Linked DNA regions of Arabidopsis thaliana. The protein of the gene in region 2 interacts with the protein of the main gene of each other region in a pairwise test. Each region holds a gene or a part of one and is shown on either strand. Other genes may lie near its edges.

What was found.
Region 1: the proteins of AT3G17090 (region 2) and SAUR15 interact in binary tests that used the Arabidopsis thaliana proteins (3 or more experiments, as listed by UniProt).

The regions. Positions count from the first base shown.
Region 1 is NC_003075.7:18,124,173-18,127,366, reverse strand, and holds SAUR15 (SAUR-like auxin-responsive protein family), read right to left. Parts: upstream 1,311-3,194; 5' UTR 1,111-1,310; coding exon 841-1,110; 3' UTR 538-840; downstream 1-537. Other genes in the region: AT4G38840 (SAUR-like auxin-responsive protein family), read left to right, coding at 1,894-2,193; CRK26 (cysteine-rich RLK (RECEPTOR-like protein kinase) 26), read right to left, coding at 2,424-2,738, 2,821-2,971, 3,044-3,194.
Region 2 is NC_003074.8:5,824,831-5,830,660, reverse strand, and holds AT3G17090 (Protein phosphatase 2C family protein), read right to left. Parts: upstream 4,076-5,830; 5' UTR 3,678-4,075; coding exon 3,350-3,677; intron 2,801-3,349; coding exon 2,433-2,800; intron 1,952-2,432; coding exon 1,715-1,951; coding exon of another isoform or gene 1,711-1,714; intron 1,556-1,710; coding exon 1,334-1,555; 3' UTR 761-1,333; downstream 1-760. Other genes in the region: AT3G17080 (Plant self-incompatibility protein S1 family), read right to left, coding at 4,918-5,322. UniProt on the Arabidopsis thaliana protein: Dephosphorylates and represses plasma membrane H(+)-ATPases (PM H(+)-ATPases, e.g. AHA1 and AHA2), thus influencing negatively plant growth and fitness. Promotes the apical hook maintenance of etiolated seedlings.

The DNA.
Region 1 (3,194 bases), on a different chromosome or scaffold from region 2:
TAAAATGCAATGAATGTATAAGAAAAAATATATGTTAGATTTATTTTGTTTTTTAAATAAACTGAACCTTGTCATCCAAAAAACAAAAACATATTTTAACTCTATAGTCAGAGAATAATAACATTATACACATAATTCAATAAGAAAATAGATGTACATTTAAAAAATGCTAGCTGAACCGGACTAACCGGCAGGTTTCAACGTCCATAGTACAAGTGTACAACAACTAACGATACAGAGAAAACAAACAAACGTTACAATGACGTAAAGCAAATAAATAGACGTTTAAGAAAAAAAAATAGATGTAAGCAAGAGAAAAAACGGTGCCAACTTCCCCACGCGCATCTGTTCCTAAGCAACCATAGTCAAAGAGCGCGTGAATGTTAGGCGTTTAATTTATGGGCTTTGGGCTTCGAAACCTATTTTAAATTATGTTTGGGCCACTATTAATTATTGTTTGAAAATACATTTTTTAAACAACTTATATGAAGAGCCAAAAAAAATACCAAGTTTTCTCATTATTACAGTTGTCGCAAGGAATGATAATAGTCACATAAATGTTCTTTGAGAAATATGGAAATAACTACCAACCAGAATAATGAGTGTTCAAATTCTGCCGTTTCACTGTAATGACGAAATGTATGGTGTCCAGAGTTAAATGACACAAATGTATAATTCCTTTTTTTGGTACAAGACACAAATGTATTAACATGCAAATACGCATTGATCAATTACGATCTATGTATTGTATATTCCTCTCATTGAAACAATTTACAATTATCTCCAGGGGAAATTAGCTAACAATCTAAAAAAAATATGGAAATGTTGTAGTATAGTACTTCATTGTATCTGAGATGTGACTGTGAAGAACAAAGATTCATGACATGGTATTGTTAAGCCGCCCATTGGATGATCATAACCAAACTCTTCCTCAGATTTACTCAACAGTTGTTGAAACAAAGGCTGGTTTAAGTATGAAACCGGCACCACATATCTCTTCTTCTTCTGATCATTCTCTCCTACATAGACCGCCATGAATCCTCTTGGTGTCGACGATGATTCCCTTCGAATAATTTGCTTAGCACCCAAGAAACTCCTCAAAAAAGCCATATTTTCCCTTATGTTTTCCTGAAGCTTAAATGTTTCTTAGTCTTGGAGAAAGCTTTGAGATTTTAAAATTGGATCTTCTTTAGTTTGTGAATCTAAAGGGGTTTAGTTACTTGTTATATAAACGAACGTATGAAAGAAATGATTAAGTATTTTTGAGGTTTTTCTTTTTAATTACAGAGCACATGGCTTTGGGTTGTAGATACTAAACCAAGAACAAATCAATAAATGGTGTCTGAGAAGTTAGTGTCTAATGATGTCCTACATGATAACTTCATTGGGGCTTATTTGTCTCAAAGACATCACATGCCAAATCTCTCTATAGATTATGTAGGGACATGAAGTTGTGTACCTAATGAACCACAAGTCTCTATCACTGATTAAGTCATACCTTCTTCTCAATGATATTCAAAAGACAGGACCACATGATTTGATTATATACTGACAAAGTCACAAAAGCCTTCAAAAAAATTCTGTGGCAAGAAAGGAAAATTTGACTAGTTATAGTGTCTATCTAACAAACAAGTGGTCATATTGATTTCTGTCTTCACATCAGAAATCATGAAGATTGATCACTATAGGGCCCTTACTTATCATGCCGTGGTCCGGCAAAGCCATGTGCTTGCTTGTTGGTGTAAAAATTTATGAGCTGAAACTTTTGAAACCAATAAAGGGTTATCTACAAGTAATGTTCTTATCTATATATACTCATCACTGACTCCTTTCTGCTCTGCAAGTTTCTCACATTTTCCAATAAAGCATCTAACTTACAATTAAAGACAATCCATGGCGATCAGAATCCCTCGTGTGCTGCAATCATCGAAGCAGATTCTCCGACAAGCCAAACTGTTGTCATCATCTTCTTCTTCTAGCTCTCTTGATGTTCCCAAAGGCTACTTAGCGGTTTACGTAGGAGAACAAAATATGAAGAGATTTGTAGTTCCGGTTTCGTACTTGGACCAGCCTTCATTTCAAGATCTATTAAGAAAGGCAGAGGAAGAGTTTGGATTTGATCATCCAATGGGTGGCCTCACAATCCCTTGCAGTGAAGAAATTTTTATTGATCTTGCTTCTCGCTTCAACTGATCATGACTCACTCGATAACCTTACTTTTGTCATTGATTTTTGTACATTTTGTTTTCCCAATTAGTTTTCTTCAAGAGATGAGATGACTTAGAAACAGCATCTCTCCTTGAAAGTGAAACAGAGACTTGTAACACTCTTTTTCCTCACTTACAGTGAGTTGGACTCAAATCTAATCAAAACCATCATTTAGTCATCATCTTGAAAATCTTAATTTCAGTGTCCAAACAAACTCACCGAGGATACAACTCAGTGTTGGAATTATAGTTTGAAGTTTTTGCATTATGTCCTAAAGAAGAAGAACTATCTGATACCGCATTGCTGTGTGAGAAAAATGCAGGTTTTGATGGTTCTGAAAGAGCAATAGTATGTCCATCTAACATCAGAACAACAGAAGCCATGCTTGGTCTCTCTGCAACTTTCTCTTGGACACAAAGAAGACCAATGTTTATGCATCTCATGATCATATTCGATGAATAACTCGACATTGTCATCAAAATCTTGTCCACAAGATTCAAAGCAACGCCTTCCTTCCAATTTCTCCAAGCCTTTACCAAAACATCAGAACTCAGTGAAGTGAATTAACAGTTATTGATCAAATCTCAATGCTTTTGCATGTAATATACTTACGAAGCTGATGAGATCTCCCATGCTGTCCTCACTGCTGAAACCACTGTTTTTCTTACCACTGATGATCTCAAGAACTAAAACTCCGAAACTGTAAACATCTGTCTTGAACGAGAACTGTCCGTGCATTACATACTCTGGAGCCATGTATCCACTGTGTAAACCAAATGACTGATCACAATCGAGGTTGATGAGTAAAAGATGAATGTTAGTTTTTGCTACTTACAAAGTCCCAACGATCCTATTCGTGTAGCGTTGAGTCGTGTGGTCGATATCGAAAAGCCTAGCCATTCCGAAATCTGCGATTTTTGGGGTCATTTCCTCGTCTAATAATATGTTACTAGCTTTAAGATCACGGTGTATAATCCGCAGACGAG
Region 2 (5,830 bases):
GGCTTATAATAAAAGAAGAAAAGCCCATTAGTCTAGTATGAAGGCCCATTATGTTTGATGTTTGCGGCAGAAAAAACCCTAAGACCTAAATTCATAAGTATGTATATAAACCAACACTTCCGGCGATGCCTAAAACATTCGATCTCTCTTAAGCTAGGTTTAGTTTGCTGTGTTTTTACTATGTTTGTATATGATCTTTTAGAATCGTTTTGTAGCTGATTGGATTCGCCTCTCAGATTGAATTTCCTGTAGAGTATTCAATATCTACGGGATGATTCTTTCATCGATTTTATTCGTGAGGCGATAGATTATTGCAGGGGCGTTGAGTCGCTTCGTCTATGTTTAACCAGGCATAGCGAATAAGCTCGTGCTATATCCTAATCAGTTATCGTTTCTTTTTTAAAAAAGCTTATTGAAGGATCCTATGATGGCATGAAATCTTTGAGACCTGATTTTTTATTGATGAAAAGCTATAAGCATTTTTACTCTGAGGATCCTTATAATTTTTTGTATCTGTTTCAATTTTTTTATCTGGCTAGAATAATTGTTGAGGGTCTAAGAAGGAAAAGATGATGAATATGCACTGGGCTCTGAGTTGTTGATTGACATTCAACTTCTTTTTGATGCATAATGCAGCCTAGAAAGCTTAATCTGATTTTTCTTTCATTAGTACTCTCAAAGGTTTTAGTATTAACAAGAACTTTATAGATTTATGGAATTGTATTTGATATTTTTTAGAAAAGGTCCATGAATCCATTTAATCAGAACTAACATTTAAGTCTTGCATAAGTAAAATGTTGAAGCCAAACGTTGCTCCACGACTTTGTTCTCCAAATCAAATCCGTACGAAAATTAAGTATTTCACCGAAACCGCAAATTTGAGATAGTATGAAGAGTTGACAACTGTGGCACATAAATATCGAAACAGTAATCCAAGAGCATCTTAAAATCTTTTTTGATCAATAAAGTTAAACCTAGAAATGTTGAAGAATAACCACTGTTCGGGAATGAAGAATAATTATAAGTTACCAAAACAATTTTGATTAGAGACTTGATGTTACATTCGAGAATAGTATGGTTACACGGCTATGTTACATTACATACTTTTGACGAACGGCAAGAAGTAAAAGACTTGGAACTCATCAGAACTTTGAAGAGAAACACCAAAAGTCAAACATAGCCGCTTAATACAAGAGAGAACTCATTACGTACGATAATGATGTTGTTTTTTTCATTTTTGGTTTTTTCCATATGTTGCCTTTTTTTTATTCATTCTAGGCAAAAGTCATATAATCAAGTAAGAAGAAACATTGTTGTAAAATGTTTGGGATTCTCAGTGTTCAAGAGCACTCCGTATAGAGACTGTTGTGTCTTGGGTTGAGTTGATGTGGCCTCTCGATATGAGGTCATGGTTCAAGAACACCACTATAACCGTGATGTCATCATGAAAATGTCGTCTCACTTTCTTGTCAATCTTCCTTAGATCTGAATATCTCATCTCACGTTTCCTCGCTGCCTCGTGAAGAGCCGCCTTTATCAGTCTCTTTGCGCTTCCCTGAACATAGAGAGAAACACACAATGCAAGAAATCATTTATATATTTAACGAATTTGTAATAATGAGGATTCTTGTGACTTGACTCGCTTAAAACTGCAATCTAAAACTTATCTAGACCAAAAACGCCATCTAAGAGAGAAATCAAAGTAGAAACTTACAGCACGGGGATGGTTATGAACAATCTCAACTGCTTTTTCGTTAGTCAAATGCTCCCAAAGACCATCAGATGCAAAAATGAGAAACGAATCATTAGGGTGCAGAGGATGAGAGAGTATTGTTGGTGTTGCAGACATCAAGGGTCTTTTCATTGGCTCTGCAATTCTGAACTTTTGACTGATTGGCTCCTTGTTAAATTCGGGCCGTTTCATGTACATGTCTCCTATAGACCTCGATACCTATATAAACAGCGAATCAAAGTTGAACAGTAAATACAGGGAATCATCAGAAAGTCTTAAGAGCTGCATGGTAGAGATGATTAATTATTGGTAACTAGACATCACAAAGAGCGTAAGACATATATTTAGCTTGTTCAGTACATATGTATGGAGTTCATCAGAAACCCATTACTTGCTAATTCTGCTTATGCACTACCTCATTACTTGCTAATTCTCAAAACTTTTTAAAGATTTGTACTTCTCAGACCTCTAATGAACTTTTCTATAGCTTATAAGAAAGGCCAAACCGCTCAAAGACTAAAAAAGAGAGAAGAAAAATGATTTAGCTCTTCCGAAACAAGCATAAGGTAGATATGTCAAAGTTTGCGAAACCAAAGAGAGTTAACACAACAAGGAACCTAGTTATGTCTAAGTGACTAATTTTACATTTTTCTTTTGGAAAATTAACATCACAAGGGATGGCAGGAGAATGAGAAACTACCTGAATGATGCCCTTAACTCTCCAAACTCCATGCCTGAACACAACGATCTGCGGGTCATCAGGATGTAAGTCCTTGAGTTCCCAACGAATATCTTCATTGTTAGCATTGTGTTCAGTCGACAGCTGAATAGCAGAGAGTCCGCCACAGTTGCCTTTCTTTCCAAGAACAACCCGTGAATCTCCAAGACTTGCCACAAAAAGAGTATTTTGATATATCACTCCAACCAAACAACAAGTGCCAACAGTTGCCAAATTTGGTATTTCTTGCCACAGCTCTGACACAATGGAAGCGAATCCTTCTTCTGTCGCATGAAAGGCTCTTTCTATCGTCTCTCTCGTCACAACTCCTTGTGTTTCCGCTGATATTTCTGCATAACCATAAAGCCTGAGCAATCAAAACATAAGAGAGGCTCAACCTCCTTTCATAATTACAGTGCACTCCTAGTTTGCTTAAGCCTGGTAATATTCATGACACTCCACCATCAATGCAAAAGCCAGGGACCCTTATCTAAATGGCAAAGAACAATCTCAAAGAACCAGGAATGCGAAATGCAAAGAGTCCTCCTATATATCAAACTGCATTACAAATACTCCTATATATCAAAGAGCATACTCATATCTAAAGTTTTACTATTTCTGAAGTCAATAAACACAGTTTTTAAATGCAAAGACTGTAGCTCTAAACTTGCATTTAGCTTAATGGGAACCTAATTATACCCCAACGAGATTAAAAAGTCAAAGTACCTAACTTTGTTGACCAATCACCATCTTCATCACCAAGATTTGAACAAAAAGTTCAGAATTAAGTCAACGGATTCATCTAAAATATGTATTTCCCCAAAAAACCAATTCAAAACACTCAAGCTCGAATGTCAAAATGACGAATCACTGTGTCAATGAAGAATCGGATTACGAACCTCGAAAATGGTTAAAGAGATGATCACAGACATAACGAGCAGCTTCAGGACCACCATGACCATCGTAAACACCAACAAAAGTCCCAAAATTACCGGATTCGACCTGGCTCTGATCTTCAAGAACCTGATTGGCTTGAATCACAGCCATGGAGAAATCTCCGCCGCAATATTTACCGAGATCACGGAACCAAAGCAATCCGTCTTTGCCTTCACCGCCGGTTCCACCAGAAACGCCACCACCACCACCCGATCCAGCTTCGGAATTATCACAGACGTGCCCGAATGGCTTGAAGCAGAGAGAAAACAGATTCATCAATGAACCTGACATTCAACATCTCTCGAAAACCCTAACCCCCAAAAACCCACTCCTCGGAACCGTGAGATTTCTGGGTATTAAGGGTTCGATTCAAAATCAGAGAAAAGGAGCGGGATTGGGTAATGGAAATGAGATCGGGAGAAGAGAATGATGGGAGAGAGAGAAAACCCTAGGTCTTAATGGAAGGGATGATGCGCAGGATAAGATGTTTTGGCGTAGGATAAGGGGAGAGGCGTAAGATAGAAAGTAGTAGAAGACGATGACGGACGTGTCTTGTCCGGTCGTAAAGGAACAAAGAAATTCTCGCTTGTAATTTTTTGTCTGATGAGGAGAGAGCGATCTTCCCTTAGCTGTCCGACCATTTTCTTTGCCTATACTATTACACAACTGTTGTGTTGCCCAAATTAAAAAAAAAAAATCTAACAAACTAAAAACTATATTATTAAAAGAAAGATGAAAATTTTGTTATATATGTTTACTAAATCAAAATTTAATACAAATTATAATGTAAAATATTTATATGCAAGTTCTTTGCATTATTTTTTTTAAAATTTGGGTTTGACTCAATAGACTTTCTACTTACTTCTTTTGCTAAATCGGAAATAAATATAAAAGAGATAAGTTTCTAGATGTAATGCATTTCACTTATGGGAGTAAATCTTCACCAATTTATGTCATTGAAAGTATATGTTTTAAGATAATATTTCACTTCCACTACTCGAGAAAAGCCTTCCCACGCGGGTTTAGTTTCCTCCATTCACCAACATGCGTTTAACTATGCCATTTGGTTATGTCGAATTATACTAGTTTTTTTTTTTTTCTGGTTTTAAATTACACTAGATTGTGCACTACGTTTGACTCATTGAGTTTCGGGGTCATGAAATGGGACTCTAATCGATATGCGTTTAGTTAAGCACAAATGTATAATTTACATAGTTGTTCTTTCGATCAACACTTGTTCTCTATTTATTTATAATTCTTTTTTTTTGTTAAAAAATGAACGTTAAGCATAAAAGAAAAGCTCATTGTAGTTCACATTATATTCTTATAATGTTTTGTTACTTCGCTCTAAAATTATTTGACTATAATTGTGTCATTAACAAGTAAAAAAAAAAGAAAACGAATTGTAGGTCAAACCATAAAATATCATATTAAGACACAATTACCTCATACAAAAAAGAAAAAAAAAGGTAGAAGAAGAAGTAGACAGACATAGATTGATAGTTACGACATGTTTTATAAAATAAGGATATTAATCCCAAGAATAGCAATGATCAAACATGCCGGTCTTCTTATAAAACTTGCAAGGTCCATTTTTCCGTATTTTCCATTCGCATTTTTTGCAACCAAACTCTTGAAATTCTTTGTCTCTACTCTGTTTGTAGATATCAAATATATGACTCTCAGCTCCCCAACTAAAACGACAGTAAAACAAAGTCCGGCCAAAAATATCCGGTGTAAATCCAAACGACCACGATCTACCTGGTGCTAAACTCTGGTATCCAAGATCATCCTCTCTTGATTTGCAGTGGTGCCGTAGTGGCAAACCACCTCCAAGATCATTATAAATCACTACACTCGTCGAGGCTCGAGACATAATTGCACTCATAAACATAACCATTACAAAGAAAAGTAAGCATGTCTCAAGAGAACCCATAATTCGTCTAAACTTTTTTTTTTTTTAATCCTGGAAAATATCCAAGTATATGTTGATAACTATTTCAATCAAACTTGTTCAGTATTTATACTGTATAGGTAACATCTTTTTGCACAAAAAAAAAGGTAACATCTTAAGTCAACACTTTCCAAATTATGATCCATGTTTGTTTTGACACTAACTTTTTTTAAAAAAAATATCCAAGTATATGTTGTTATATGATCAACACTTTCCAAATTATGATCGCTACAAGAGAAACGGTATTTGACGTCGGTCATTATTGACTTTAACGTCATTTTCAAACTGACTTTAACATAATAGCGTCGGTTTAAAAACCGTCGTAACATTGCATGACGTTAATATAATTAACTTAACTTTAGGAAATGACGCTTACTTATACGTCGAAACGTTTGCGTCGGTTTTAGTAATCTTAACATCGGTTAAGTTCTGTCGTGTAAATCTTATTCTTTTGAGTCATTTGTAAACCGACGTGTATATAGTTTTTATC